Linked DNA regions of Tamandua tetradactyla. The protein of the gene in region 1 binds, or shares a complex with, the protein of each later gene. Links are inferred from orthologs where the notes say so. Each region holds a gene or a part of one and is shown in the gene's direction. Other genes may lie near its edges.

The links.
Region 2: the proteins of protein diaphanous homolog 1-like (region 1) and PPFIA3 are in contact, whole or in part, in a crystal structure (PDB 4UWX), measured with the Mus musculus proteins. The link is inferred for Tamandua tetradactyla from reciprocal best matches to the Homo sapiens genes DIAPH1 and PPFIA3. Residues at the interface, in NP_031884.1 of Mus musculus: Lys252, Ser255, Ala256, Ile259, Gln307, Asn310, Ala311, Thr314, Pro315, Ala316, Glu317, Arg322, Gln352, Cys354, Val355, Glu358, Gln359, Glu362; in NP_084017.2 of Mus musculus: Pro719, Arg720, Arg723, Leu724, Arg726, Met727, Ala728, Ala730, Leu731.

What each region holds. Positions count from the first base shown.
Region 1 is NC_135346.1:21,747,987-21,763,827, reverse strand, and holds the start of protein diaphanous homolog 1-like, read left to right. Parts: upstream 1-8,128; 5' UTR 8,129-8,247; coding exon 8,248-8,364; intron 8,365-15,841. Other genes in the region: HDAC3 (histone deacetylase 3), read left to right, coding at 275-348, 511-575, 1,914-2,003, 2,130-2,188, 2,472-2,551, 2,862-3,019, 5,652-5,721. UniProt on the Homo sapiens protein: Actin nucleation and elongation factor required for the assembly of F-actin structures, such as actin cables and stress fibers. Binds to the barbed end of the actin filament and slows down actin polymerization and depolymerization.
Region 2 is NC_135342.1:11,994,558-12,010,421, reverse strand, and holds the start of PPFIA3 (liprin-alpha-3), read left to right. Parts: upstream 1-8,949; 5' UTR 8,950-9,036; coding exon 9,037-9,417; intron 9,418-9,596; exon of another isoform or gene 9,597-9,679; coding exon 9,680-9,781; intron 9,782-10,122; coding exon 10,123-10,287; intron 10,288-10,596; coding exon 10,597-10,671; intron 10,672-11,211; coding exon 11,212-11,286; intron 11,287-11,618; coding exon 11,619-11,840; intron 11,841-12,765; coding exon 12,766-12,912; intron 12,913-13,010; coding exon 13,011-13,145; intron 13,146-13,348; coding exon 13,349-13,432; intron 13,433-13,545; coding exon 13,546-13,677; intron 13,678-14,015; coding exon 14,016-14,078; intron 14,079-14,180; coding exon 14,181-14,260; intron 14,261-14,572; coding exon 14,573-14,717; intron 14,718-15,233; coding exon of another isoform or gene 15,234-15,239; coding exon 15,240-15,427; intron 15,428-15,864. Other genes in the region: LIN7B (protein lin-7 homolog B), read left to right, coding at 782-818, 1,147-1,265, 1,513-1,584, 2,201-2,410, 3,157-3,320, 3,666-3,687. UniProt on the Homo sapiens protein: May regulate the disassembly of focal adhesions. May localize receptor-like tyrosine phosphatases type 2A at specific sites on the plasma membrane, possibly regulating their interaction with the extracellular environment and their association with substrates.

The sequences.
Region 1 (15,841 bases):
CCTTCAGGGTGAATGGCCTTCAGAGGGACCATGAACCCCAGAAATTGTATGCAATGTATTGTATATATGTGCATTTTTCTGGGAAAAAGGTCACTAGCTTTCATCAATTACTCAAAGGGGTCTGGAACCCTCACCAGAAGATCAGAACCAATGGTTTGGTTCTTTGGGTTGCTCCTTTCCTGGGCTACATGCTCTCTCAACCCCCTTTTTCCTTTTATTCCCTGTCTCCCCATCCCCTTGGGGTGCCAGGTGCCCATCTTTGGCCCTCTCCCAGGTTACAAGCACCTTTTCCAGCCGGTTATCAACCAAGTGGTGGACTTCTACCAACCCACATGCATTGTGCTACAGGTAATACTGCCAGTGCCTTCTCGGGAGAGCTCCATCTGGGCTTGGTGGAAGAGAGCAGGGAAGAGGAGATTCTTTAGATTAGAGGGGGAAGGGAAATGAATGATATCCATGATGTTCTGATCAGTTTTACACTGCAGCTGCCTGGGGTTTTGCTTTTTGTAGTGTGGTGCTGACTCTCTGGGTTGTGATCGATTGGGCTGCTTCAACCTCAGCATCCGAGGACATGGGTAAGATTCACCCTCCTTCCATTCTTCCAGGTTCTCAAGTGACCTGAGGACCCCAACACATTGAGTGGGGGTGGTAGGAGAATGGACCTCATCTTTGGGAATCAAAAATAGTGTGAATTATACTTGAACCAAAAATGTCACCTTGAGCAGGGTTTTCCAGCTGGCTATGCATTCACAGTAGGTTTTTATCAAGCACCTATTATGTTCCAGGCATTGGAATATAGGAGATAGGGATACAGGGAATCAGACAAGGTCTCTCCTCCCATGAATTTTACAGTTTAGTGTAGGAAACATAGAAGAAGTAAGTAAGCTAACAAAGTATTTAGATTGTTATAAATCCTATGAAGGAAAACAGTGAGAGCTAAGACATAGGATAACAGTAGGGAACCCACTTTAGGTACTCTGATGTGGAGAAGATTTTCTTAGTAGGTGAAATCTGAGTTGAGATTTGGAAGCTAAGAAGGAGCAAGCCAGAAGAGGCTGTCCCAGGCAGAGACTAGCCAAGTATCTGAAGCAGGGAAGAACTGTATAGTGGAGGAGATGAAGCAAAACTAATGAGGCTAGAACACAGTGAACAAGCTGAAGGACATTTCAGGTGAGGTCTGAGAAGTTAGCAGTGGCGAGATTATGCAGGGCCTTTAGACCTTGGTACATAGCATGAATTATATTCCAAATATGATGGGAAACCATTGAAGGATTTTAAAGAGGGAAGTGACAACTATCCACCTTGTGTTTTACTCCTTTTTTTTTTTTCCCACATGGGCAGGCACCGGGAATCGAACCTGGGTCCTCTGGCATGGCAGGCAGGCATTCTTGCCTGCTGAGCCACCATGACCCGCTCTCCACCTTGTGTTTTAAAGTGACTGTGCTGGCTGCTGAGTGGAGAAAGGTGGAGGGAACAGGAATGAAAGTGGGCAGACCAGTTAGGAAGCTGTTGGCATTGGTTGGGTGGGAGTTGTGGTGTCTGGGCTAAGGTGGGGGTGATAGAGATGGAGAGAAGTAGATGTTTTGGGTCATATTTTGGAAGCTAGAATTGACAGAACTTGCTGGTGCGTTAATGAGAAGGTAGATTAATAGGTGAGTTGCCAGGGAGGGTATTGAACAGAACAGAGGTGGGGGCTACAATTTATTTATTTTTAAATTTTTATTGAAATATACCATATATACAATAAAGTACACAAATCTTCAATGAAATTCAATGAATTTCACCACCCAGCAAACATTTCTTATTCCCCAGAAGGGAGAGCTCCCTTGTGTCCCTTTCCAGGCAATACTTAGGGGCATATACTTTGGCTTTCGAGAACTTCCTCCACCCATTCCCCTGGTTTCTTTTAACAGGGAGTGTGTCGAATACGTCAAGAGCTTCAATATCCCTCTCCTGGTGCTAGGTGGAGGTGGTTATACTGTCCGGAATGTGGCCCGCTGCTGGTGAGCCCCTCACTGATTTTTCTTCTGCTCCTTTCTCTTGTGTGAACTGGGGACTCCCTGAGAGATGGACATTTGGGCCCTTCAGCCCACCTGCTCAACCTGCCCCAATCTGCTGGTTGGTTTTAGGACTTATGAGACATCACTGCTGGTAGAAGAGGCCATTAGCGAGGAGCTTCCTTATAGTGGTAAGGATCACCCCAGGACACCTCCACAACAGGAAGCCCATTCTCACAAGACCCCCAGAATGGCCTCGTTTGAAGGCAGATGAGATATTTGACACTTTTAGAATTCTGAGACTAAACCCCTGGGCTCAGAGCATGGGAAAGATGGAGCAGCTGTTATGTAATGGGTCTAGGTGGGAAGGAAAGCGATTGGGAAGTCTCAAGACCTGCCTGAACCTTTATTCTCTCAGTCTGAGCCATATTACCCTCTCTTCATAACCTCCCTGTCTCCCTCTCCCCTGAAAAGAATACTTCGAATACTTTGCCCCAGACTTCACACTCCATCCAGATGTCAGCACCCGCATCGAGAATCAGAACTCACGCCAGGTCAGCAGCTCGGAGAAACTGAGTACAGTGGTGGGGGAACCTAGGAGGGGTCCAGGATGTGGGAAGTAAGAGAAATCAAAAAAGAAAAGGCAGTTCTAAGTTATCACTATCACTTCTCAGTAGGAGGCTGCTCAGGTTAAAGTAGAGGCAATCAGGGCTGGAGGGAAGGACAGTTACCAGTTGGTGGACCTGAACTAGAAATACTCTCTGGGATTAAAATTAGGACAGTAGGGGTGAAAGGCAGTTAGAAGGGTTGATGCCCTGAGAATCACTGGGAGCTTCTCACTCCCTATTCCTCATTTCCAAACAGTATCTGGACCAGATCCGCCAAACAATCTTTGAGAACTTGAAGATGCTGAACCATGCGCCTAGTGTCCAGATTCATGATGTGCCCTCAGACCTCTTGACCTATGACAGGACCGACGAGGCTGATGCAGAGGAGAGAGGTCCCGAGGAGAACTACAGCAGGTCTGGGGTCAGGGCCTCGACGGCAGGGATTCCAGCAGGCTTGGCGGGGAGGATTAAGAGGGATAAAGTAACATTGGAGGATATGCTTTATTGTTTCTGGCTTGCCTCTTTTAGTACACCTATTCCTCAGCCTGTTACAATTCCCCTACTCTTTCCCCCCTAACCCATTTCTGTTCTTAATTACAAAAGTAGTACATATTCATTGTAAAAATTTCAAACAGCACCAAAATACATTGTCTGCTTTCACACAGTCCCAAACCCCATTCCAAAGAAGTAACTACGTTAATAGTTTGATTTGTTCCTTTTCAGACAGACCTTTTTTTTTCGGGTAACAAAAGTACTGTTCCACATATAAACACACATACTCAGAGTTAGTGGTTTGTGCTTTAAAAAAAAAAAAAATACAAGTAAGATCATTCTATCCATGTTGCTCTAGAACTCACGCCTGACTTTTTTTTTCCCTAACAAACAGTTCCTCTTTCCATCAATATATGTAGATCTGCTTCATTATTTTATCAGCTATGTAATATTCCATAGTGTGGATATAGTTTAATTTAACCAGTTAGCATGGATGGATAGATTATTTTCCATTTTATCATTACCCAAAAATGCGGCAAACAACCCCTTACACATATACCTGCTTGTTTGAGTAACTCAGTGGGTTAAATTTCTCTGCTGAGAATTGTCACTGCTAGTTCAATTTTAGTGCTGTGCTCACTAAAATTTTTTATATTTGCAGCCAAATTGCCTTCCAGAAAATCTGCAGCAATTTATGTTCTTGCCAGCATTTTACTCACTCCTTCCAAGTCACTGCCCATATGCCCTTTGTTCTCTTAAGTTTTTCAGAGTGATAATGGTGTTGTGGTTATGTTTTTTAATGAAGCCTTTATCTTTCTGAGATACAAGCTAAAATATAGATGCAGTGAATTGTGGATAAAAATAAAAGTATAGAATTCTTTTAAAAAAAAATCCCAACCTATTCTGAAAAACAAAGGAAAAAGATAAAAGAATCCAGAAGTACAGAAACAGATGTACCTATCAGAGAACAGGTTTCCTTACGTGACTGAGAGATAACCATAACAGTGGCAGAGCTTTGAGCTGGCCCTGTTGGAGAATCTAACAAGCTTTTCAGTTTCTTCCAGAATCTACTTCTCTGTCTTAGAGTTCAGGCCTCCAGAGCTCTCCTCTGGGCCTGGGCTTACCGCTCTGACCCTTGGAACTCCTACAGCACCCCACCTGAGTACTCCTTTATCCCATTCCTAGAGGAAGCATCTAGACATCCGGCCCCAGGCCTTCCCTTTTTGACCTATCATGTCTTTTTCAGCTTCTCCAGGTCACTGCGACTTGACTTCTGGAAATTGGTTTTCACTGTTTGGTTTGGTTTGGTAAAGTCTGTTATTACAGCTGGTTCTTCCTTTTGACAAAATTTGACTTTTTCATTTATAGTTCTGACTGGCATCTGAACCTAGTATCTGCATTTTACTGTCCACTGCAGAAGCCTCGGGCTACTTCCTTAGCCCTAACACACTGTTGGACCACTTACTCAGTTCCTGTTCTTCTTTGAGAGATGCCTTTCGCTCCAGTAATAATAATGAGTTACCATTTTTTTGTGGGTTTGTTAAGCAACAGACTCAATGCTAAGTGCATTATAAACAACATACATATCTTTGGGTCATCATCCTATCATCATCAGACAGCCCTAAGAGGTGATTATTATTCTCAATTGCCAGAGGACGAATCCAAGGCTCAGAGAGATTAAGTAACTTTCCTTAGATCACACAATATTGGGCCCAATATTGTTTTCATAGTCATTCTGTCACTACAGATTTATAACATCATGTCATTCCACTGCTTAAAACCTTCCTTTTCATTGCACCTAGAAGAAAATCCAAATTTCTGACCATGGCTTAATAAGGCCCTGCACACTGGCTCTTACCTATATCCCTCATCTCATCTCTAACTACTCCCTTCCATGCAAACTATTCCTAGCCATACTCGCCTTCTTGCTCTTACTGGAATACATAAGTCTACCACATGACCTCTGTACTTGATTTTCTTACAGCTTGGAATAGTCTTCCTGAGATCTTTGCTTGGCCAGCTCCTTCTCAGACTTCAGGTCTTAAATTCCTACAAAAATTTCCCTAATCATCTTGTCTGAAATTTACCCTTTTCCTCCCATCACATTCAGTCATGTCACTATTTCATTTTATTCATAGCACTTTCCACCATCTGAAATAATCGTGTTTTTTTATTCTTTGAGGGGAGGAGGAGGGGTGCCTGGTCTGGGAATCGTACCCATGTCTCCCGCATGGAAGGCAAACATTCTCCCACTGAACCACCCATGAACCCTGCTTTTATATTTTTTAGGTTATTGTCAGTTTCATTGTGTAAGCCCTTAGAAGGTAGAAACATTATCTGGCTTCTTTACTGTATTGCTGAAGTCTGTGACAGTGCTTTAGCAATACAGTCCCTCAGTAAATGTTTATTGAATACATAAATGGATGAATGATAGCAATCTTTCTCTATCAGTAGGAGGAAAGGAGTGGTTCCCTGACAGAGGGGGTCTGAGAAGTAGTTCCAGAGAGGGGAACTTGGAGACTGGAGTCCTGATCTCCTTCCCGTTGCTTTGCAGGCCAGAGGCACCCAATGAGTTCTATGATGGAGACCACGACAATGACAAGGAAAGTGACGTGGAGATTTAAGAGTGGCTTGGGGATGCTATGTCCCAAGGACTTCCTTTTCACCTCTTGATTGGGCAGGAGGGAGAAGACGTGACTTCTCTATTCCTGGATATATCACAACCAGGGAAGGGTTCGGAGACCACATCTGGTTCTAGAACCAACTTCCCCTTTTCCTCTGCCTCCCCAGGCCTGACAGTGGTACCTGTTGGGAGGGGAAGGAAGCAAAGACAGCTGTCTCTGGGTTACCTTGGGCAGTGGGCCCTAGGAGCCAGACCCCAGCCCCTCTACCTCCCTTATTCCTTCCATGCTTCCCTCCAACCCAGAGACTTCAGCCTAAAAGGGTAGGCAGGACTGAGGTTGCCTCTGATTCCTTCATGCCTGGGTGTTCTGCTGTAGGCTGTGCTTCCAGGACAGGTGAAATATGAGAGGTTTCAGGGGCCTCTGACTCACTAAAACCTTAATCTCAGATAATCTGACGTATGGTTTTGAGTCAGGGGAAGATGTGAAAATGTCATGTTCTAACTTTTTTTGGCTTCATGTCCATTTTACCACTGTTTTTATCCAATAAATCAAGTTGGTATTTTTTGTACCTTTTGCCTTTCTGGGAGTGTTCTTAATTCCTGTTAGTGTTATCTGCCCATGTGTGAAGGGAAGAAGAAAAGGGGTAATCATGCTTATAATAAGAATCATCATTAACATTCATTCAGCACATTATTTTATGTTAGGACCTATTATATATTCTATATGGATTATTTTACTTCAACTCAGGGAGTTAAGCATTCTGGTTGAGTTAAACAAACCTGGATAGATTACTAGTTTAAGAGAAGAAATAGAAGACAACTTCAGGGTTTTGAACCTGGGTTTTGGAATAACAATGCTAGTTGCTGACTATAAATTACAATAAAACATGTCAAGTGCTTAGCACCGTGCCTGACAAAAGTAGTTATTAGTCTCATTATCTTATCTTTGTGTAAGGAACAAAGCTAGCTACCATAGTAGCCACAAAACATGGACCCTTCTCTGGAGTGGTTCACAATCCAGTAAGGGAAAGAGTTACAAGTTCACATGGATTGTAATAAATGTTATAGTACATACAGACAGTGGTACAAGAAAGAGGAGTAGTAGATGAGCCACTCTTTCCATCCTTTGATCCTATTTGTTTCTCAGCACTCCAGCTTAGTAAGCAGTTTTTGAACTCTTGAAAAAGTTGAGTTTGAAGTGTGGGTTGGACAGCTTGATACAACTTTCTTTCAGGCAATTAGAGGGTCTGGAGCACCAGAGAAATGAATACCAGATTAGGAGCTAGCCAGTTTGACACAGTCTCTGCAATATACCAGCTCTTGGACAGGGGTACCAGAGTGAGTACGCTGACCTTCAGGAATGCACACTTGAAATCTTTTGTCACCAGTGATCAAGGCAATTCATGCTGTGGGGTCATACTGAATATCTACTTTTCATACAAGGGACAGGTGCCAAGGGAGAACGTCACACTAGAAGAGCAAAGAACATGCTCTTGGAGAACATCCCTTCTTTTCACTCATGTTCAGTTTATGTCAGTGGAGAGTCCTGCTTAAAAACAGGGCTTGCCAGTCAGACTAACCAGTGTTTCTTTTTTTTTTTTTTCTTTTCTATCAAATTTGTGTTCTTAGGCAAGTCACTTCAACTCTCACAACCCTAATATCCTATCTGTAAAATTGGAAGACTAGTAGAATCTATCATGTGGTCTAATGAGTGAGATGATACATGTGTGCTTTGCACAGTGCCTAGCACAGAGCAAATGCTCAGTAAATGGAACTATTAATACTGTCTAGGCCAATGTTTGGAGTAACTAGTTTGTCCAAATTAGAACTACAACTAGAAAGTAGCTGACCTGAGATTCGAAACTAGGCACTCTAACTGCGGAGCTAGTCTGGTTCAGGGTTTAGCATGGACCATGCTCTATTCTTGGTATTTAGCTGTCAATAAATGGCAGCTGTCACTTTCAATGTAATCTACGTGTATTTCACATGTAAGAACTGCACTATCCCGGAAAATCCGGCACTAAATTTTCTGTCAGGGTAACGGTACCTCTGATTCGAATTTTGGCTCAGATTATAATATCCCGGTCTGAGTGAGAGTAGGTTCAGGTTTGACAGACACGTGGAAGCTGAGTGGGAACAAGGAGACCTGGTCTTCGCCGCTCGTACAGCCAGGGAGCGCTGTTGCCAGTCGCGGCCTAATCGAGCTGTACCGCCCACTCGTCATCCCCCACGTGGGCCGAATGGTTAGGTCCGCGGGCAGGTAGTGTGCTTCCGCGACTCCCCTCCACCCCTTTTCCTTCCCCCATTGGTAGGGGCTGCGCGTCCGGGCGGAAGTGGGGCAGGCGGGCGGGAGCGAGGCGTCACCGTTGTATATTCATGAGGCGCGCGCAGCCCGGCATGCTAATGAGGCGGGGCGCGGCGGCTGGCTAAGGAGCTGCTAGGCGGGCGGTGGCGGCGGCGGCGGGCGCGGTGCGACCCGTCGGGAGCGACGTAGGCGCGGGGGTCGCCAGCCAGCGCGAACCGGGGCATGGAGCCGCCGGGTGGGGGCCTGGGGCCCGGCCGCGGGACCCGGGATAAGAAGAAGGGCAAGAGCCCGGACGAGTTGCCTGTGGCGGGCGGCGACGGCGGCAAATCCAAGAAATTTGTGAGTGTCCCTCCCACCTGGTTTCCTCTGCCCGTCCCCACAACCGGCTCGGGACCCGGGAAACCCCAGCAGCCGGGCCTAGGGGCTCCCGCCTATCTCTCGGGAGCCGCCCCCGCGCCTACCTTCCTTGACTAGCTGGGTCCTTGGCTCCTCAGCCCGACATCCTCCTCCTCTTCCCGGACCTCGGGAAGCCCCGGAGTCTCACCCGGTTCTTGCCCCGGTAGCCGCGGGGCTTCTTTCACTCTCCAGCCGGCAAGCTCTGCCCTCCGTCCTCACAGCCCCGGCCAGCTCTCTGCCCGGTCTCTCTCCTCCCAGCCCCACTTCCTTTCTTTCTCTGTTACCCGCTCACGGCTTCTCTATCTTGATCTCCTATGCTTTCCTGGGTCCATTTACCTCCCCCCCTCTTTTTTTTTGTAATCTCTTATTTCCTTATCCAAAAGGTCACTTCCTTCCCCATGATTGATCCTTTTCACCTGCTAACTTTCCTCCCTGCCCCGTCCCCACTCTGGGCCCTCAGCCCGGTGTCGCTTGATAATCCTTCCGCTCAGGAATGTTACCTGATTTGGACCATGTGATACAGGAATAGGTTCCTGCTTAGGTCCTCTGGTCATTCGGCCTTGGACGTTAATTATTTGCTTCCCAATATTTCTCTTTCCAAAAAACCTGTTTCTTTGCCCTGTTGCTTAACACTTTTCAGGGGTTTAGAACTTCTCCCAGGATTATGCCCTTCTCCACCTAGGATGGGAATAAACCTCCCCCATGGGGAGGAAGTTAGTAAGTTCAAGAAGTTTGTGAGTAATTGAATTTTTTTATACATTTTCCGTGATAACCATCTCCTCAACTCCTCTTCTGCCACCTCCTGTGCCTCAAAGCTGCTCACTTCCCTTTTCCTACCTGTCGAAGAGTATGGATTTCCTCAGGTGCCAGTTACTTCCAACCTTAGTCTGGAGAAATAATTGCTATTCATGTAATCCTACCGTATTTCATTACCTTTTGCCCACACTAAATCTTTTTTTCCTTACTCCTCTCTGCAGGGAGCTACTTGTCTACTTTTTATCATAAAAACAGAAAGATTTGGGGCACTGTCCAAGAGAGGGAAAAGTCTTTGATCTTAATAATCGCTTGTTAGTTGTAACTGTGTTTTAGTCTTTCCCTCTAGATGGTACAGCGTCTCCCTCCCCTTCTACTGACCAAATGGTTTATAGCTCTTCTTTCTGTTTTCTCTTGTCCCCAGCATTCTGACCCAACTCCACAAGTTTGGGAAATAGTGGTGGAAACAGGAAGAAAATATTGTGAGGTTGAGATGTGGAGAGTACTAGTACAAAATAAAACAGTGACTCATCTCTTTTCTACCTGTTTCTAAGACCAGGTGCTCCTGGACTCTCCTTTCCAGTGATTTACAGGCTGTCGGTAACTGCCTGTTTTTATCTGGTGAATATCTTTTTGTCTATAAGTGTAGGATTAACAGGAGTGTCGTCCCCCTCTCCCCCAAACCTTTGATGATTAAAGCAGCATTTTCCTATGTTTCTTTAGGCTAAGAATTGACCCTCTGGTTTGAAAGTTTCCCTTCTAAGACTTAAGTTCTAGGGCCCATACTCCTTCTGGTTTCTGTATCTTTTTGTTTTGATTTTGTTTCCATGGGTATTGTTTGACCTTCCTAACCTGAATTCCCACTGCTGATTTATAATAACTTTTGTGACTTGTAAATATTTTTTCAAATCTTAGTGGAATTTTCTGTGTGTTTTTGTTTTATCTAATATGGGTGTGTTTCGTGAATTTGTGAATCATTCATGTGTGATGCTGTAAGGTGAGAGCACCTGTTTTGGGAATGTCACTGAGTCTTCTTTGCTGAATGAATTTGTCTCAGAATAGTTGGTATTTGCTTTAGAGAGGGTGGAGCCGAACCAAGTTCTCTTTTTCTTTCTGAGGTGTTGGTCTTAACCCTTAACCAGTTGAAGTTTTAAAAATATGTAGTATAGGCAGTGAAGAGATTTGCTTTAGTAGCTAGGGGATTGGAAGGTTCCCAGGAAAGTAGTGCAGCTTAACTCCTTTATTGCCAGGTATGACCTGCCTCAAGTCATCAGAATATTCTGTTTGAATTCTGTGGAAATGGAAGACTAGGCACATTGCAATGCACTTCTCTCTGTGTCAGTGTGTGTGTGTAAGTGTGGGCGGGCGGTGTGGGCAGGATTGCTGCAGTGCTTTTGTTACCCATGGCTTGGTTTTCTTAAACTGCAGGTTAAAACGGAACTCAAAGCTGTTTCGCCTACTCCACGTTTTCTAGAGTGTGTGGCCTCTGGAACACCATTAAGAGTGTTTTTATAAAACTGCGCTGGTCTGGACAAAGTGTGCCTGGAGGTTGTTTGCATCTGAGGGGTAATATTAATCCCTTTAGCTGCTACATACCTTTCTGGGTTTATAGAGGTTCTGTGTACAGATCATCGAATGAGAAAACAGAGCTCTTACCCTCTGAGGCAATCTTGTGTGGAAAGGAGATAGAGAGTCTTAAATTTAAAAAGTGTTTGGACACCGTCTTTTAAAATATATGATTATTAGAGAGATGTTGACATGAGTGGCTGAAGCCAGGCGACCTGGTACTCCCCCTTGGTTTTTCATGTGTCTGTCTTCTCCCAGGCCCTGTGCATTTCCCTTCTCCAGGATCATTCCAGTTGTGTTTGGAAGTCCTTAAGATGAAGGAAATAAGAGAACTATAATTAAATGGAATGTGGAGTGTTTTCTGGACTCAACAGCAGTGGTAAATGTGGGTGTCAAATATACTGATTTCTGAAGTTTAAGGGGAGTAAGTACAACCAGGATGTTAGGAGGCTGAAGAATATTCCTGCATTTAATAGACTCCATTCCTTCTCATACAATCAAGAAATCGATACATTCTAAGAGAAGAACTTCCTGATTCAGAGTATAACTTTTTAAAACCTGAATTTTAGTGAGATTAGAAAAAAATCCAAGATATATAATTTTTTAAAATCTTGTGTGATTTTGGATGCGTATGCCGAATTATTACCATGTTACAGTTTCATGCCCTTCTGAAAGCAAAGATAGTGAGATTATACATGTTTAGTTGTGAACCTCTGTCCAAATGAGCGCAAAGGTGAAGGATGCCAGGCAGAATTTTAAGGAGGTGTTAGTTAAGGTATAAAATGTGAAAGATATGGAGCTTGTGTACAAGTCTGTTCATCTCATAAAGAAGGCAACTGTGATCCCAAAGGTCACAGGAAACCAAGGATTGTTCAGAGAGCTTTGAGCAGTCATATGTTTTTGAAAGATGACGGACATTTGGTATAATTTAATTTGGGAAGAGGGAAGAAAGCCTAGAGATCATGTCACTGATATGTTTGAAGTGACAGAATGATTGTTACTTTAGACATTTCTGCCCATCATCCTGCCTTGTCTCTTGAAGACAGCCAAAGGGTCCATTTGATGATGTCACATGTGCGTGTCCCAAAGGAAGTCCTCACAGGAGGTCAAACTGAGGGAATGCCTTAGATGTAAAATCTCTGCCTTGGGAGAGTTGCTGAATGTGGGGTACTTTTATAAAAAGAGGTGAAAATTTTATGACCTGTAAATTATGTTTCTTATAAAAGCTAAGAAAATAGTAATGAATGAGAAGTGATGTAACTTTATTGATGGGCACAAAGGTTCAGAATAAACAAATTTTATTTCTTGTATGAGAGAATAACCTTTTGTTATCCTCCAGGGTCCTCAGTGTATTTTGTAGATGGATTGCCAAGTTATTTTTGGAGAGTGCTGTATCTTCAGTGAAATGTAATGAAAGCTTAAAAGATAAGGTTATACCACATATGACTTAGAAGAACAGGTAAAATTATGTTTATTGACAAGAAATACTAGGTATTTTAGAGAAACAGAATTTGTAGATGCAGGTGTAATTTTCTCTGCTTTATATCTCAGTAGCTGATAACATTCTTGGCTAGGAAAGCCATCCCCATTTTGAAACAAGATTTGTTTTAATTAAGTTTGTTTCTTTATTATGTTGAATCCCCTGTTCTTCTTTAGCTTGAAAGCAGTAAGAAAAACTTCCCTCTTGTCAACCAGCACAGTGGCATTGGGTGTTCCCCTCGTTGGGGTTAGGTAAGGCAAGCTGACCCTCCTTGACCTGCTGCCTCTCATCCTCTCCCACTTTGTTTTTATTCCCTCCCTGCTTTCTGTAGGGACTGGCTAGAGACACGGCAACAGTCAGGCCTTTAGAGAACCAGGAAGAGGCGGATGATACGAAAACTGAAAAGTGAAGAATGTTTCATTTATACCTTTTACTTTATTTTCTCCCTGTCTTTCCTTCCAAACACAGTTTTGAGACTCAAGGAACTCTTTTAAGGAAATAAAAGAATTATTGAAGGAAAAAAGAAATATTGAAACCAATGTTTTAATGAATTTTATGACAGTTGACAGAATAACCCTGGTTGAATCATTGTTCTTTCAACTTGAGATTCTTACTTCCATTCATTATTAAAGCTTGCTATGAATGGTAGCCTTAAAACTTTAGAGTTGGAAGGAACTTTAAATGTCATCATGCCTGAACACCCACGCAGTGCCGAAGTCCCTACTTGCAGTGGTAGGTTGGAAACATCAGGGGGTTAAAAAGTGTATGTTACATCAATAAACGAAGGAGGAAGGGCAGAAATGTTGGATTCTGCATTTCCTTTAATAAATTTCAGGATCTTCGAATAGCTGAAATAGTATAAAGGGATTATACAAAAGGAACAGATGCACTAGAAGCTGGGAGACTAAGAGGGAAAAGATTGAAGAAACTGGCTGTCTCTTGCTTGGCTCTGTTACAGTTAGGGAGTGTCAATTTGCCCTTTAAATATTTGTTTAAGTTTCTTTCCTCCAAGACGGGACTGGAACAGATAAGAGCATACAAAGGAGAATAACTGTAACGGAACTGAATTTAGAGAAACACATTGGATTCTTATATGGAATATGGGAAAATTCCATTCTTGATGGGGTGGCAGTAACTGGTGTGCAGATCCTTAGGCAGCAGCTACTAGGGCATTTTGCTAGAGTAGCAGATACAGATAGAATTTATGGTGTCCTGGATTACTTTTCTGGATTTCTGATTTTGTGACTTATACCCTGTCCTATGAGTAGTACTGTATAAAGGAATAGGATTTGTATTTTCTTTTAAGGTTCAACATACTTTAAGGACCCAACAGAGGATGATTTTACAAACCATTCTTTGAGCTGAGAGGCCACAGAAAACCAGGATACCTTGGTAGTGAGCCTTCCATCTCAGTTGTCTCTGCCTTTTATTGTAAATGTCAGAATTTTAGGATCAAGTAAAAAAGTTGCCTGTCACCTTTTTTTTTTTTTTAAGATTTTTAAACTGTGAAATATAACATATATACAAAAAAAAGCAATAAATTTCAAAGTACATTGTAACAAGAAGTCATAGAACGGCTTTCAGAGTTTGGTATGTTATAGTTCCACAGTTTCAGGTTTTTTCCTTTTATCTGCTCCAAGACACTGGAGACTAAAAGAAATATCAATATAATGATTCACCAGTCAAACTCATTTGTTAAATCCTATCTTCTGTTATAACTCCTTCTTCTTTATCCTTCTCCCAATTTTTAGGGGTATTTGGGCTCTGCCCATTCTAACTTTTTCATGTTGGAAAGGGGTGTCGATAATAGGTGATGGGGGATGGAATTATTTGATATTCTTGGAGATACTGGTCCCCCTGGGTTTCAGAACTTAAATGGCCTAGGCTGGCCTAGGAACCATCTGGAGGTTGTAGGTTTCTGGAAAGTAGTCTTTGTGTGAAACTTTTGTAGAATCTCAGAGCCCTAGGTGTTCTTTATGGTTAACAAGAGTGGCTTTGTTTGGAATTTGGCAAACCAACCCCTCGCCTCCTTCTTTACAGCTTTATTGATGTACAATTAACATACAGTAAATTGCACATTTTTAAAGTGTATAGTTTGTGAATCCATTACCACAGTCAAGATAATGAACACATCCATCACCCTCAGAAGTGTCCTTGGGTCCCTTTGTAATCTTTCCCCTCACTCTTCCTCACGACCCCCACCTGATAACCACTGATTTGCTTTGCCTCACAATAGATTAATGTGTATTTTCTAGAATTGTAGGTAAAGGAGTCAAACAGCATGAACTCTTTGGTCTGGCTTCTTTAAGCATAAAATATGTTGCATATATTAATAATTTATTTCTTTTGATTGCTGAGTAGTAGTGTGTTATGTGGATCTGCCACACTTTGTTTATTCATTTGCCTGCCAATGGACATTTTTGTTATTTCCAGATTTGTTTGTTTGCTATGGACACTCATATACAGATTTTTCTGTAGACATATGTTTTCATTTCTCTTGGGTAAAAACTTAGGAGTACAATGGCTGGGTCATATGGTAGATGTATGTTTAATTTTTTAAAAAATTGCCAAACTCTTTTCCAGAGTGGTTATACCATTCTACGTTCTTACTGACATGGATAAGTATTCCAGTTCCTTGTTACCTCTTGGTTTGAGCTGTATTTAAAATTTTAGCCATTCTAGTGAGTGTTTAGTGATATCTCAGTGTGGCATCAGTTTGTATTTCCCTATTGACTAATGATATTGAGCATCTTTTCATATGCTTATTTGTTACCTAGATATCTTTTTTTTGGTGAAATATCTATTCAGATATTTTGTCCATTTAAAATTTATTCTTATTATAGTTGTTTTAGTTTGCTAGCTGCTGGAATGCAATATACCAGAAACAGAACAGCTTTTAAAAAGGGGAATTTAATAAGTTGCTAGTTTACAGCTGTAAGGCCAAGAAAATGTTCCAATTAAAACAATTCTATAGTAATGTCCAACCTAAGGCATCTAGGGAAAGGTACCTTGGTTCAAGAAGGGTGATGAAGTTCAGGGTTTCTCTCTCAAAGTGAGGAGGCACATAGCGAACATGGTCAGGGTTTTTCATCTGGAAGGGCATGTGGCAGACACGGAGTCATCTGCTAGCTTTCTCTCCTGGCTTCCTGTTTCATGAAGCTCCCTGGGAGACGTTTTCCTTCTTCATCTCCAACCACTCTTGATTGAGTCACATCTCCAGGGAGATAATCTAATTAAAGTCTCCAACATGCAGTACTGAATAGGGTTTAGAAGAAACGGCTGCCTTTACAAATGGAATTAGGATTAAAACATGGCTTTTCTAGGGTACATACATCCTTTCAAACCAGCACAATAGTCTTGATACAAGTCATTTAGAGATATAGTTTGGAAATATTTTCTTCCAGTCTGTGGCTTGTCTTTTCATTTTCATAACAGTGTTTTTTGAAGAGCAAAAATGTTTCATTTTAATCAAGCCCAAGTTTTTTCTCTTTTATTGTTCATGCTTTTTGTTGCATAAAAAAAAAAAAAACTTGTTAAAATCAAGGTCACTGAGACTTTATGGTTTTGTTTTAGAAGTTTTATAGTTTGAGCTCTTTAATTGTCTTTTTCACTGAGGGCTTG
Region 2 (15,864 bases), on another chromosome or scaffold:
ACCCAGATATTTTCCAAATCTATCCTCCTCCAAACCTCCGCACTGGTGCAAGAGGACACCATGTTCCTCCCTAATCCTGCTCCCATCCAATTCTCCACACAGTGGCCCCCGTGATCTTCAAATACAAATTTGAAGATCACGGGGTTCGCAGGAAGTAAAAGCTCCTCGACGCCCACATGCCACCGCTATTCTAAATCGCTGCGATCCTTATTCTGCTACCCAGCCCCGGGGGCCCTTCTTCCAGGCCTTCAAACTCCAGGGCTCTGCAGGCTGCTCGCTCCTCCGGCAGGGGGGCCACGCCCACCTCGGGGCGCTCTTACTCCAGGTTCTGCGCCGGCGTCTTTCCTCTCCTCGGTCATCCCTCCCCACTCCCGATTCTCGTCACAGCCGCAGTTGGTTGTGCCTCTCCCGCTAGACACGAAGTTCCGTGTATGGAGTGGGCTCGTCTGCCTTGCTCATCACCGCGTCCAATATACGTTTGTCGAATGAAGGCTGAAATAAGACCAGATGGAGAGGACAGACGGGTGTGGTGGCAAGGACGGACAAACAGAGACTACTGTGGGAGTGACTGCAAACAGGGCAGAACGATGGGTGGGGGGAGGCAAGGCAGCGCGACGCGCAGACGGGCAGGTCGGGACCCCGGCACTGCGGGGCCGCGTCTCGGCAGGGGGCGCCCGTCTCGCGGGGCGGGGCCTCGCGCAGCCCCGCCCCCCTCGCCGGCGCGGGGGCAGGGGGGCGGCTGGGGGCGGCTGGCGGCGGCGGCGGCGGCGGCGGCAGTGCCATGGCTGCGCTCGTGGAGCCGCTGGGGCTGGAGCGGGGTAAGCGCACCCCGGGAGCCCTGCCCGCCCCGGCCCCGGTCCCGCGTGCCTACCCCTCCCGCGGCCAGGGCTGCGCGGGGGACGCGGGGAGCCGGCGGGGCCTGACGGGCCGGGCGGTCTGTGGGCGTGGGAGGGTCCGCGGGTCGCAGCGGGGGGCACCGGCCGCACGCCCCCGCACAGTGGCTGCGGGAGGGGGCCCTTCCGGGGAATGCGGGGCGCCCGACTGACCGCGGCGCCCACCGGCTCTGTTCTGTCCTTGCGGGCGTCCGGCTGCGCTCGCCCTTGCTCCTCTCCCGCCGCCTCGCTGCGCCCCTGCCCCGCCTCGCAGACGTGTCCCGGGCGGTGGAGCTCCTCGAGCGGCTCCAGCGCAGCGGGGAGCTGCCCCCGCAGAAGCTGCAGGCCCTCCAGCGGGTCCTGCAGAGCCGCTTCTGCTCCGCCATCCGGGAGGTGAGAGCCGCGCGGCGCCCGGCCGCCCGGAGCCCGGGGACTACGCGTCCCAGCAGCGCCCGGCCGCCCTGTGGCGCTCGCGGTTCTGCTCGGGGGCTCTTGGGGAGTTGTAGTTTCCTCGGGCCCCGGGTTGCGGGGACGGGGCGCACCCCTGGGTGGGAGGGAAGAGGGAGTGTGGGAGCCTGGCCCCCTGAGTGCGAGGGAGAAGGGACCCGGCGGCTCCCGAAGCTGCAGCGTCCCCTCCCAGGTGTACGAGCAGCTCTACGACACGCTGGACATCACAGGCAGCGCCGAGACCCGGGCCCACGCCACCGCGAAGGTAGGTGGCCCCCGCCCCCCATCCCTCTTGGTCTGAACGAACTGCCTGGGCCAGCTCAGTGTCTCTCTCGTGTCAGCCATCCCTTTTGCCAAATCTTTTGTACCACCCTTACCGTTAAATTTATGATTTCCTCGAAATACTCTCATGTTTTTTACTCAAACAAAAGTCCTACAAAGGCATCCTTGACAACTACAAATGGAAACCAGTACTGCCCTCCTGACTAGAAGGTAACCTTAGAAATCTATACGTTGAAAACAGTGACTGTCATTAAACAGTGAAATCGTAGTGAAATATAGTTAGACACTGTTTCCTGTAGCTTCCTTGCAGGCTCTCAGCTCCCTCTAGGCCTTGCTTGTTTCCCACTGATGGAAAGTGAGATTGGCAGATGTTGGGGGGTAAAGATACACACGAAACCGAGACTTCTTTCCGAAGTAATCAGAAGCACCTAGAGTGAAAGCAGGAGGCACATGGTCATCACCAGGTGATTTGGAGTTGAGTTGTGGCAGACGCCCCATGTCTGGGGAAAGCAATCTGCCTCCCAGACTCAGATCCCCCACCCCAGGCCGCATGCCCACCGTAGAGGGGCCATCCACTCCAGATGCTGTCTCTCTCCCAGGCCACGGTGGCCGCCTTCACGGCCAGTGAGGGCCACGCTCACCCCAGGGTGGTGGAGCTGCCCAAGACAGACGAAGGCCTGGGCTTCAACATCATGGGTGGCAAGGAGCAGAACTCCCCCATCTACATCTCCCGCGTCATTCCCGGGGGCGTGGCTGACCGTCACGGAGGCCTCAAGCGTGGGGACCAGCTGCTGTCCGTAAATGGTGTGGTGAGTGGTGACTGAGGCATAGTCTGTCCAAGGTGGCACAGCCCTGCTTTTAACATTCATTCATTCAACACAAAGTGATTGAGGACTGCCCACACGGCTGGGCAGTGCTGCAGACCCTGTGAGAAATTGGCCTCAGCTCGTACACTCAAGGATTGCCTCTCAGATAGACCCTGACTGAAATAGTCCTGATCCAGATGATGTGCTGTGAGGGAGGAAGCACAAAGCCTTGTGAGAAAGCAGATGTGGCATCAGACCAATCCGAATGAGGAAGGAATGTTTGAGTTGGGTTTTGAAGGATGAACAGGAGTTTTCCAGGCAAACAAGGTGAAAAAGGGTATTCCTGGCTGAGGCTGTTGCAGGTAGGAGCTGTGAGTCTTGTACTCTTCTGAAATGAAGAGAAAGGGCTTGGCCTTGATGGAGGTCTGGGACATGCAAGGAGGGACAAAGGAGAAGAAATAGGGGCAGGAGGGATAGAACTGAGGACTGAGGGCAGTAGGGAATGAGGATGAGCCTGCAGGTGAGGTTCAGTTACTGAGGGGATATAGGGTCATCCCTAACACCTGACATAGAGAACCTGAAAGGTTGGGGGGGGGGACACTGAGCCAAGAGTTAACTCTCCATAGGGACAGGAGGCCTTGGCATTTTGAGACGGTACTGTGCTCACAAGCAGTTACTCCCGTTTATGGGGTGGGGGCAGGCAGAGGGCCATGAGCCCTGGGCCCAGCTGTGGGTGCACCACCCTGCAGAGCGTTGAGGGTGAGCAGCACGAGAAGGCGGTGGAGCTGCTGAAGGCCGCTCAGGGCTCTGTAAAGCTGGTGGTGCGCTACACGCCCCGCGTGCTGGAGGAGATGGAGGCCCGCTTCGAGAAGATGCGCTCCGCTCGCCGGCGCCAGCAGCACCAGAGCTACTCGTGAGTGCCTTGTCACCGCTGGGACCTTCCACAGCCCCACATAGCCCTGGACTCCCAAACCAGGCCAATGATTCCAGGGTCCTGAATGCCACCCCCAGGTCTGGCTTCTCTTCCCTGGCACCCTGACCCTTGACCCAGGCCTGGCTTCTTTTCCCTGGCCTCCTGGCCCTTGACCCAAGTGAAGGCTTGGTCAAATCCCCTGGGAGGTCCTAGCCTAATCCTATCTCAAGATCTGGAACCCACTTCCCTGGGCCCTTGCCTCTGGAATCTGGGTCCTGGTCCTCTCCCATGTCTTCCCAGGATCCCTCCACTGAGCCTGGCTCCCTTCTCTTCACCCCCTTGCAGGTCTTTGGAGTCTCGAGGCTAAAACCACAGATTTGGACCCTCATCTCCGCCCCCACCCCTGTACAGTATTTATTGTCACCATCCCTTATTTAAAGATCTTTGAATCTCATTGTGCGTCTGTGTGTCTGTCCTGCCTCCTAGGACTGGAGTGTCTGGAGGAATGGGGGAGGGAGAGGAGCCGAGGTCAGAGACCACGCCCAGCAAAAGCCCTTTTCAGAGTCTGAGAACAGAGGTGGAAACCTCTCCTCAGGTCTCACGGCCGAGGCTGGCCGGCTTCCTAGGGACAACTCCGAGGGCGGAGGCTGGGACCCAGCCTGGATCTGAGTGAGGGGGCGGGACTGAAGGCCCTAAGAGGGTCTGAGGGCGGGGGCGAGCCCCTTCTTCCGCGGCTGGTCTGACGGAGGAGTCCCGAAAGGCTGCAGGAGCCAGTGGGCGGCCTCTGTGTGGGCCGGGCGGAACGAACCATTAGCTTGGTCCGCCGGGGGAACCTGCAAGCCGCACTACGGTCTGCGTGGGAGGCGGGGGTGGGGGTACCGCGTGCAGTTCCCGAGGCTGGCGCAGGGGGTGCGGAATAAGGGGCAAACTCGCCGACCCGGTCCTCACCCCACCTTCCAGCCGGAGCGCGTCTCTCCGGAACCCGCACCCACCTTACAACCCACCCTGCACCCTCACCCCGCCCAGCCCTCCTGTCCCGTGCGGCGCGAGGGCCGGCGCGCGCCACCGCCGGGATCCGGGGTCGCGACTCGCGTTCCACGCCGCGCGCCACTCGCTCCAGGTGACATCATCCCCATGCCGGACTCCGCCTCCCGCCCCAGCCGGCGCACGCCGCACGCCCATTGGTCAGAGCTCCTTGAGCCCGCCTCTCGCTCTCCGCCCGCGCGACCCCTCCCGGCCTGTGCGGAGGCGGGGTCTAATCGCCGGCCGGCGCCGACGCAGCCTCCCATTGGCCCACCAGCGCCGTCTGTCAGTCTCCTGTTAAAGGGACCACGACCGCCTGGGAGCTGTGGGGGTGGGGGGAGGGTGGAGGAAATTTTCTTGGGGGGGGTAAAGGTGGGATTTGGGGGGCGCTGGTGGGAACCCCTGGATCTGGCGCCTACGGTCTCGCGGGGGGAGGCTGAGCGGTCACAGGGGGAGGGGGCTATTTTAGTGGGGAGAGGGCTGCGAGACCGTGAGGGGGAGGGGGTCCCCAGCGCCCGAACCCGAGCAGGAGACGCGGAGCCCGCGCGAGCGGCGGAGACAGGGCTCCGGAGCCACAGATCTGGGCCCCGGCCGTCGCCAGGGGCCCCGCCCGGTCCCCCCACCCCACCCCACGTCCATCCTGCAGCCCAGCTCCGCCCGCAGCCGCCGCGGACCAGGTAGGTAAAAGCCCGGCCCGGCTCGCCTCGCAGTGCCCGCCCGGGGACCCCTCGCCGAGCCTCCCCCGCCTCCCCGAGATCCGGGTTCCCTTCCTCATCTCCGGGGACCCAAGAGCCCAGATTTCACTGCCCAGCTCCGGGGGTTCAGGCGCGCCGCTGCCGACGGCCAGAGTCCCCACCAAACCCTAGAATCCCAGGCGTCCTGCCGCCTTGTGCCTCTTCCTGGGCCCAGAAGGCTGGCTTTCCCAGTTCAGCCCCGGGAGCCCCCTCTGAACCTAGATCACCCCCCAACCTTCGCCCAGCCCCCGGGGCCCCGGACCCCCGCCGCGGCTGTGCCAGGCTCCCCCGGTCCCGGCCGACCGCCCCCCGTCGCGTCCGCAGCGTGCCCCCTTCGCGCAACCGGTCTGTCGGTCTCCAGCCCTCCCGGCTGGAACAGCGGCCGCGTCGGTCGGTCCAGGCAGCCTAGGCGGCCGCCCTGGACACAAGCCCGCTCTGGAGCTGTCCATGGTCACTGCACCCGGCCGCCTCGCCTCCCCCATCCCCTGCCGCCGCCGCCGCCGCCGCCGCCGGGATCCCTCCCGCGGCGCCTTTGACCCGGGGATACCCGGGCCCTCCCCGGCCCAGGCACTCGGGCCTTGGGGTTCCACTCTCAGCCCACATCCTTGGCAACCCAGGCTTCTAGAACCCCCACTGCTCCTGGAGGAGCGAGGGCCTCTGAAGGTTTCTGCCGGGTCAACCTCAGGGACCTTGGCACCCAGAGACCGCACCTGCTCTGGGAGCCCTGTCAGGGCTCACCCTGTCTGGCTTAAGGACCCAGCCCTCACCCCCTCAGGACCTCGGAGTCTAGCCTTCCAGCCTTCACCCCCTTTTGAGACCCAGTTCAACAGTCCCTGTGCCCCTCAGACAAATATACCGGGTGCCCCGCACCCCCAGCATCTGCCCCTTTAGGGATTCAGGCGCCATGACTTTCTTCCTTTCAGGGACCAAAACTGCAGTTCTTAGGCTTCTACTTACCCTCCGCCTTGGAGACCTAGATGTCTTGTCCCCAGACCTGAATCCCTCCAGGGACCAGTTCAGACTTCAGCCTCTGAACAGCCCACCAGCCTTCACCAAAGCATCTGCCACAGCCTTACCCCACAAAAGGATTCGGGCTTTCAAGCTTCCAGCACCCCTACCTTTACCCTGGCAAGGATCCAAGTCCCTAGCTCTGCCTACCCCCCATCTCCCCCAAGTTATCTAGCTTCTCAGTCCTCACTTAGGGGACCAGAATCCCATGGCCTTATGTTACGCATCCACCCCCCAATTGACCTTATATCTCCTGTGACCCTGACTGTGTCTCCATATCATCTCAGGTGCTGGGCTTACCGGGATTCTACTCTCTCCTTGAAACCCAGCTTCTTGGGGTGCTTCTAGCACCCTACTGCCTCCTAAGGCCTTTATCCTGATGTCTTACCATCCAACTACCCTTGGGCTGGAAGCCAAACATACATCCCTTCCTCCAGATGTGTCCTGTGGCTTATCAAGTGATCTAGAATCAAGCTGCTGTCTTCCACATTTCTGGTTATACATGTGCCCTTTACAATGCTTTAAGGTCTAGATTTTTTCCAAATCCTAGAATACTTCCAGGTGACTTATCTGTTCCATCATCACCCAAGGCATGTTCTAAATTTTAGGCCAGATGCTACATTCTAGGCTTGTCTTTATCCGGAAGCATTCAAATATCTAGGTAATGCCTCAAGCCAAATTTCAATCCCATCTTCTCCTCAGACATGTTTTACATTTTTAAAAACCAGTCCTTGCTAATTCTCTGCTAAATTTTCGTTTTAGGAGTGTAGTAGTTCCAGCCACAGCCTTAACTTTGTTCTAGATTCCATTATCTTTCCAGGAGCATTCTAAGTTCTAGAATGTGCATGTCCCAATTATGTGCTCTAGCCCTTTTCCAAATTGTATTATCAATTCTATGATGTATTAGGCTCTACCCAATTCCACAGTCTTAAATCTAGAAGATTGCCCCCATTGTACATGACATCTGCCTTCCACCAAGTTCTAGATTTTAGGCTCATGTATCAAGTTCTAGGTTCTAGGTTCATCCACTCCTGCCTTCTCTGCTCATCTTTTCCCTAGTGTGACTTTAGCCTAGAACTTGTTCCCTGGTGGATTGTGAGCTGCCTCCTCCACCTGCATTTCAGAGTTCTAAGCATGTTCTAGGCTTTCTCCTCTTCTAGAATCTCTAATAACCTCTCCTTGCTACTCAGTTCTTATGCCAAGAAATTCTCAAATCTCAGCGTGTATCCTTCTGCAATTCACCCCAGGCACTTCTAAATTCCAGGCAACCTCCTTGCTCTTTCTAGGTTTTTCTTTGCCTCCAGGGCATGCTCTGAATTCTAGACCATGTCTTCTGCATTTCAGGGTTAGAACCTAGAAGTACAGACACATGGTTAAATCAAGAATATAACCCCTGCTATATTCTGTGTTATATCTACATCCCAGGTGGTTCTGAGTTCTAGATTATGTCTCCTGGCTGGGTTTGGTGTGTATTACATTAGGTTTATTCTTAGGTGATCATCATGCTCCCTTCTATGTTTGGGGTTCTGTGCAGCTCAGGCATTCTTAAGTTATTGGATTGTTCTTGCCTGCCTAGGTTCTAGGTTCCAGACCTGAGTCCTAGAACATGCCCCTCTTGGTGGCCCTATGTGTAGACCTCACCTCAAACTTGTAAATGTGGAAGCATATGTTCTTTCTGCACTCTGTACTGTCTTCCTTCCAGTGGCCTTCTAGAATCAATGGCCAGCCTTTTTGTGTTTTACTTTCTTCTCCATGAATTTAGGTTCTAAAGCAGCCTCCCTAAAACATCCTGTGTTGCATCTTCTAAGTAGATCCTGGGCTTAGATTCCAGCTCGTTCTTTGGCCTAGGACTGACTTGCCCTCTGATAAACATTTTCCTGAATCTTGGTGTCTGAATGCTGGGAGCTCAAGTGTCTAGATTCCCAGATTCACTACTTCACAGAGCCAAGGCCCGGTCCCATGCTTTGGACACAGCATATTGGGCAGGGCTCTGAATTATCCCCTTTCAAAACTGGTTATGCTGCTAGGAGGAAGAGGGAAATGGGAGGGAACAAAATGAAAGTCCCTACTGCTTTTGGCTGGGCCAGCCCAACCCGTCTGACCTGATGTCTGTGGAGGGAGCAGCCTGGGGGCCCTCCTTTCATCTCTGTCCCGCTCCTGCTCCCGACTCCTGACTCCTGTGATCCAAGTCTGGCCCTCCTCCAAGAAGACCCACCTCCCTTTAACACCTGCCCCCCCTCCCCCGTTACTGCCCCAAGAGGGCTTGGGGGTGGGGTGGGGGTGAGGGGTAATGGGATGGTCCCAGAATTCCTTGGTCCTGGGAGGAGACGTGTCTGCAGGCTGGAATTTATGGATCTAAGGGGGAAGGAGCTGGGGGCCCAGACTCCTGTGACCAGAAGAAAGAAGGTGGATAGTGGGACTCCTGAGTCCTAGAGGGAGGGCACTAGCACGGCCTTCCCCTGGAACACTTTTTATTTATTTATTTCTAATGGACGGTGGTGGTGGTGGGGTCTTTAGATCCTTCGGAGCCAGGGTCCAGATAACTGGGAAAAGGAAAGAGGCAGGAGTTGGAAGGGATAGTAGGTGAGGACCTTCCTTGTGTCAGTGTCCTAATTCTGAGGCCAGTCCTGAGACCTCCTGAGGGCATGATTCCAAGAGGACTGGCCTGGACCTCAGTTTCCACATACATTCCCTCAGGCAAGGCCTGGGTCTCCCGGCTTCTGCTTCTCTGAGAAGCTGGCTGGGTTGAGTATCAGATTTGCTGCCACTGCCGATGGACTGAACTCAGGTTCCCCAATGCTCTCACTCAGGTAGCCAGTTAATCCTGTTTCAGTTTTTCCTGTGTAATAATCACAGTGGATGGGCCTCAGTTTCCCCTAGGCAGTACTTGGTGGCTGCCCCTTAGCCTTCCTCGTGGAGAACCCTGGCGGCCGAGCCTCAGTTGATCCGCCATGATCAGAGTTGCTGAGCCTATTTCTTCTTCGCTGCAGTGCCTGGGTTCCGCTCCGCCTCGGTTTCCCTCAGGTCGTATCCGAAGGGCGGGCCTCAGTTCTCCGCCCCCTGCCCCCGACCCGCAGGCCCGCACCGCCGCCATGATGTGCGAGGTGATGCCCACCATCAGCGAGGACGGCCGGCGGGGCTCGGCGCTGGGCCCGGACGAGACCGGCGGCGAGCTGGAGCGCCTCATGGTCACGATGCTCACGGAACGCGAGCGCCTGCTGGAGACGCTGCGCGAGGCGCAGGACGGGCTGGCTACAGCGCAGCTGCGGCTGCGCGAGCTCGGCCACGAGAAGGACTCGTTGCAGCGCCAGCTCAGCATCGCGCTGCCCCAGGTCTGGGCGGGGCCGGGGCGGGGCCTTCGGGAGGCGGGGCCTCGGCCCGGGGAGGTGCCGAGGCAGTGGGCCGGAACGGGTGGGGCTTAGCGCGTGGAAGGGAGGAGTCTGTGGGAGGTAGGCTGGCAGGGGGCGGGGCCGAGGCCGAGAGGGGGCGGGGATTCTCCGGGAGGGGCGGGGCCTGCAGACGCCCAATCTCAGGGCATGAGAGATGGGGAAGCGGCTGTTCTGACCATCCTGAACCTTTCCCACGCCCGGAAAGGAGTTTGCAGCCCTGACGAAAGAGCTGAACCTTTGTCGGGAGCAGCTGCTGGAGCGGGAGGAGGAGATTGCTGAGTTGAAGGCGGAGCGGAACAACACTCGGGTGAGGGGTGTTGGAGGCGGGGGCCTAAGAGGGGAGGGCGGGGCCACTAGCGACGCGGCCCGACCCGGCCTGACCCTTCTCTTCCCTGCACCTCGCCTTCCTGTGTTCTCCTCCTCCTCCGTGCTGCCTGGTCTCCTCCACTGCCCCCCTCCACTCCCCTACCTTCATGTACTCTGCCCTATCTATAACCTTTCTTTTCCCCTGTACCACTCTTTCCTCGGCCCCACTTGGACCTCTGCTATCCCTCTCTTGCACCTGCCTGTCTCCTCCCCTTGGCTCCACCCTCTTCCTCCATGTGTTCTGCCCAAATCTTTTCCTTGGCCCGGTGCCCCTCCCTGTAGCTCCTCCTGGAACACCTGGAGTGCCTGGTGTCCAGGCACGAGAGGTCACTGCGCATGACCGTGGTGAAGCGCCAGGCCCAGTCCCCGGGCGGGGTCTCCTCCGAGGTGGAGGTGCTCAAGGCCCTAAAATCTCTCTTCGAGCATCACAAGGCCCTGGATGAGAAGGTATGAGATTGGAGATATGGAAGAAAAGCCCCTGGTTGGCTGGGGCTGTCCTGAGAGGGAGGGATTCTGGCTGTGATTGGGTGGATATGTCCTGAATGAGTGAGATTCTCTGGCTGTGGCGGGCTAGGGCACTCCTAAAGTGGGTTTGGGGTAGGCTACCGGCTAGCTGGTTGTGACTGCACACCCATTATGGATCGAGGAATCCTAACATTGCCCAATCAGGCTTGTGCCAGGGGTGTTCTGGGTCAGGGTCGACTGTGTTAGATTGGGTCTGGTCTCCACCTCGCTCCTGTCCTGCCCCATCCCCAGGTCCGCGAGAGGCTGCGGATGGCGCTGGAGAGGGTGGCAGTGCTGGAGGAGGAGTTGGAGCTGAGCAATCAGGAGGTGGAGTGTGGCCAGGAAAGGGAGGTTGAATCCATGGGGAGGGACCAATGGGGCAAGGCCTAGGAGGCAGGCAATAGCTTGGGATAAGGGGAGACGCTCGGGAGAGAAGCAACTTGGGCAGGACTAGGCCAGAGAACCAAAGGGATTGGATTATGGAGAACACCTAACGAGAAACTCATTGGGCAGGTGGGAAGCTGAGGTGAGGAACCTCAGGGAGAGTGAGAATGAGACCAAGGCAAGTTGAACCAAGAACTGGGGCTAAGGCAAAACCTAACTATGGGAAAATGGTCGGATGGTTGGATGGGAGGAAACATCCACAAGGGGGTTTAAGTGACCCAGGTAACCCCTCCATGGTGGGCAGCTAAAGAGAGTTATAAGAGTGGGTCTAAGGATAGCAGGATGGCTCCAGCAGGACTTGAGACAACTTGCATGGAGGAGTCAATGTCCTCCCCTTCTGAGGACCAGTGCCCAGACCAGTGGGAAGAAGAGCTGGGGGTTCTGGGAAGCCACTTTGCCCTGATCCCCCTTTTGCTTTCCTAGACTCTGAACCTTCGAGAGCAGCTGTCTAGGCGACGGTCAGGGCTGGAGGAGCCGGGCAAGGACGGGGATGGGCAGGTGAGGGGCAGAAGTCCTTCCCTCAACCTGGTGGCTTCCTGCCCTTGGGACCTCCACACAAGCCCCTGACTTTTAAAGTTTGGTATGAATCTCACTGACCCCTATAACATCTGAACCCCTATGACCCTTACTGACCTTTAACCTCTGATTCACGTTACCTTGCTGACTGCAGTGACCCTCACTGAGGCCCGTGGAGGCTGCCCTGCGGGACTCTTACCGATCTTTGATTTCCACCCCAGCCGCACTGATCAACTTTCTCCTTGCATTCCCTCTGTGTCTCTGTTTCCCCACTCTGGGCTCTGCCCCTTCCTCCCTCACTGCCCCTACTCCAGATCCTTGCCAACGGCCTGGGTCCTGTCGGGGATTCGAACCGGCGCACAGCAGAGCTGGAGGAGGCCCTGGAGCGGCAGCGCGGGGAGGTGTGCCAGCTGCGAGAGCGCCTGGCGGTGTTGTGCCGCCAGATGAGCCAGCTGGAGGAGGAGCTGGGCACCGCCCACCGCGAGCTGGGTAAGGCCGAGGAAGCTAACGCCAAGCTGCAGCGTGACCTCAAGGAGGTGAGGCCAGAGCCCCTGGCGGGCTGCCCTCTGTCCCTCCCCTGGACCCTAGCCCTCCCCACCTTGGCCCAAAGTCACAGAGCTCATGAGTGGTGGAATAAGCTATGTGGACCCTCCTCTCTGAGCCTCAGTTTCCTCACCTGTGAAATGGCATTTATGGCCCTTGTCAGGGATTGATGTGTGGCATATAGTAGGAGCACAGCAGCTGGTTGTACTTATTATGAATCATTGAGGACTTCTCTTGCGATTCTAAATTAAATTTGCTTGTCTGTAAGGCACCCCTTCCTGGCCTAGCCCCTTGATCTTAACTCTTATGCCCCAGGGCTACTGCAAAATGTAGGGCCTAGATTCACAACGGCAGTGTATGTGAAGAAAAGAGAGCATTTTATTTTTCATAACCCACAAGGGCTTTCACCTCGGTTTTAAGTTTTGACTGTCCCAGGGGCTACTGGGAAACATGGTCCCGCCCCACAGGCCCTCAGACCAGAGTCCACCTCCCTTGTGTCCCTGAAACATCCCTGCTGGGGTTTTAAGCCTTGGTTACCGTGGCGGCTCCTGGATGGAAGGGGACATTGTTTCCCACAAGACCCTAGGGCACTTGCCCTGTGATTCTAAGCTCGGAATGTGTCGGAAGTTGTTGGATAATGTGAGACCTGGCGTTTTGAGGAGAGTCACCCCAAAAGAGTGGGGGCTTTATCCTCCACGGGCCTTAGGCCATCCACACTGGGAGACGCTAAGCTGGTACTGCCCTAGAAGCTGGTGAGGTGTGGTTTCCATCATTCTGCCACCCCACCCACACCCGCAGACGGCAGGGAACTTCATTTCCCAGGACACCCTGGGATGCTTGGTCTGGGGTTTTAAGCTTAGGCTCCCCCCCGGGGCTTCTGGGAGCTGTAGTCCACGCGACCCTCGGTCCCCTCCGCAGGCTCTGGCGCAGCGCGAGGACATGGAGGAGCGGATCACCACGCTGGAGAAGCGCTACCTGAGCGCCCAGCGCGAGGCCACTTCCCTGCACGACGCCAATGACAAGTTGGAGAATGAGCTGGCCAGCAAGGAGTCGCTGTACCGGCAGGTGGGGGCACGGCCCGGGAGGGAGGATGGGGGTGGAGGGATGGGGCCGTCGCCCAGGCGACCTAAGGCCGCCCCTTTCCCGCCTCTCCCCGGCCCCAGAGTGAAGAGAAGAGCCGTCAGCTGGCCGAGTGGCTGGACGACGCCAAGCAGAAGCTGCAGCAGACGCTGCAGAAGGCGGAGACCTTGCCCGAGATAGAGGCGCAGCTGGCCCAGCGCGTGGCGGCGCTCAACAAGGTGCGGGGAGGGAAGGCGGGGGGCTGGGATGGAGGAGGCCTGGAGATGGAGGAGGGGGCGGGCCCTGAAGCGCAGGTGCGGGGCGGAGGAGCCTGAAGCCCCAGGGGCGGGGCCTGGCACCCAGCCGGGAAGGAGGCGGGGCCCGGAGCCCTCGGCTGGGGCCTGGTGGGGCCAAGCCAGAGGCCGTGGGTTCCATCCACCAGGCCGAGGAACGTCATGGGAATTTCGAGGAGCGGCTTCGGCAGCTGGAGGCCCAGTTGGAGGAGAAGAACCAGGAATTGCAGCGGGTGAGGGGCGCGGCCCGGAAGACGGTGGAGAAGGCGGGGCTTGGGGGCGGGCCGGGGCGGGGCTCCCCGGGCCAGGGGCGGGGCCTTGATCATCCCTGTTCTCCTCCCCTCAGGCGCGGCAGCGGGAAAAGATGAACGACGACCATAACAAGCGGCTGTCCGAGACCGTGGACAAGCTGCTGAGCGAGTCCAATGAGCGGCTGCAGCTGCATCTCAAGGAGCGCATGGGGGCGCTAGAGGAGAAGGTGCGCCCCATCCAGGATTCCGACCACCTACATTCCAGGAATCTTCCCCCAACCTCAGCATCCCCAATCCTGTCGACCTCTGGGCTCTATTGCTAGGACCTCTTTTTCATGCTAAACACGTTAGGGGCTGAACTGTCAGCACTCAAAGCCAACAGCCCTCAGCATCCTCCAGCCTTGGGTCCTCTGAGATTGAGGGGGACACGGAATTCTGGTTTTCCAGGGTCTCCCTTCCCCAGATGCATTTGGTCTCATCCTCGTGCCCACCCCATTTATCCTGGGGTTCCTTTAGGCCTGCCCCTTCAGGCTCTGCCCCCTGGCTTCACCTCTGTTCCCCACAGAACTCCCTGAGCGAGGAGATTGCCAACATGAAGAAGCTTCAAGACGAGCTGCTGCTGAACAAGGCAGGGAGGGGCCGGCGAGAGGGGGTGAGGCCGGGGAGGGGCCTGCAGGGGTCGCCCCTCAGGGGCGGGGCAGAGTCTGATGGGCCCCGCCCCCTCCCTCAGGAGCAGCTCCTGGCCGAGATGGAGCGGATGCAGATGGAGATTGATCAGCTGAGGGGGAGGCCGCCGTCTTCCTACTCCAGGTGGCAGCAGAACTCGTGCCCCTCCCCTCTTCTGCACCCCCACCCATGGAGTCCCTTGGCCAAGCCATCTCTTCTGGTCCTCAGGGTTCCCCACTCCCTACCATTCTGAGACTTCTACAGCCCTCCCTCTTATTTTTGGCCCCTGATCTCATGATCCCTGGCCCCAGGCCCTTTTTCCTGACCCTTGACTTTGGATCCCTCATCCACTCCCCTAACCCCCAGGCTCTTGTCCCTGACCCCTGACCCCTGACCTCTGTTCCCTTTTCCCATTTCCTGACCCCTTGGTCTCTGACTGCCTCCCCATGCCCATAGGTCTCTCCCTGGCAGTGCCCTGGAGCTCCGTTACTCCCAGGCACCCACGTTACCTTCTGGTGCTCACCTGGATCCCTATGGGGCTGGCAGTGGCCGGGCAGGCAAGAGGGGCCGCTGGTCGGGGGTCAAAGATGAGCCCTCCAAGGTCAGCAGCTGCCTCTGGGCTTGAATTGAGTAGGGCTTGGGCAAGCAGTGGGGCTCTGAGTGGGTGGGTGGGTGGGGTGCTGAGAAGCAGGGTCTCCTGGACCTACCCTGTTTTCTCTTCTTTCCCTGCAACTCCACTGTCCCCACTTCCTTGTTGTCTGTTCATGTGGACATTTCTACCTGGTGAGAACCTTGGAGGAGTGAGAGGGTGGTGAGAAGGGTGGGGTCTTGGGGACAGTGGGTGGGGTAGTCCCCAGTGTGGGGCCAGAAGAAAAAGGGATCAGGGGATTGGGGGAGGGAAGAAGTGATGGGTGTGGTTCTGATTTATGGTTCTGATTTATGGGTTGGGGGGATAGGGGGACATCAAGAAAAGGGACCTTCCACAAGAGAAAGCTGGGCTGGGAAATGTGCAGGTATAGGCCATATGCTGAGGCCAGTCAGCGTCAGGGTTGGGAGAGGTAAGCAGAGTCCAGTGGCAACCTCAGCCCTCACCCACTGTCTCTCTGTCCCCTCGCAGAGGCAGGAGTGGGATCGGTCTACCCCTGCGGGGTCCATGCCACCCCCGTTCCCTGGGGAGCTGGATGGCTCAGATGAGGAGGAGGCAGAAGGGATGTTTGGGGCGGAGCTGCTGTCCCCCAGTGGGCAGGCTGATGTGCAGACCCTGGCCATCATGCTTCAGGAGCAGCTGGAAGCCATCAACAAGGAGATCAAGTGAGTGCTGGCCCAGTCCTACACTTCCCTGCCTGAAGCTGACCCCACAGTCCCCTTGCCTCTGGAGACTGATCTGAAGTCCTGAGTTCATCTGTCCCATCATCCTCAAGGAATTCTCCCATCTCAGCACCTCCTCTGATAGCCAGGAATCCCTTTGAGGACACATGGAGAATTCTCTTATGTGTTATATATATCTCCCAGCCAGTACTCATGATTTCCTGATATACCAAAAATCCCAACCCAGTACATCAAGATTCCTCCAACATATGGTGGATTTCATGGCTTCCCACACACAGTACCCAAAGTCTCCCAGCACGCCAGGCAACTCAGCACAAGGTCCCCAACTCAAAACACCAAGAATTTCTACCTAAAAGAACAAGAATTCTTACTTTGTCCAGAACCCCCACTGCTATAGTCTTCCCTGGATTCCCCGGTAA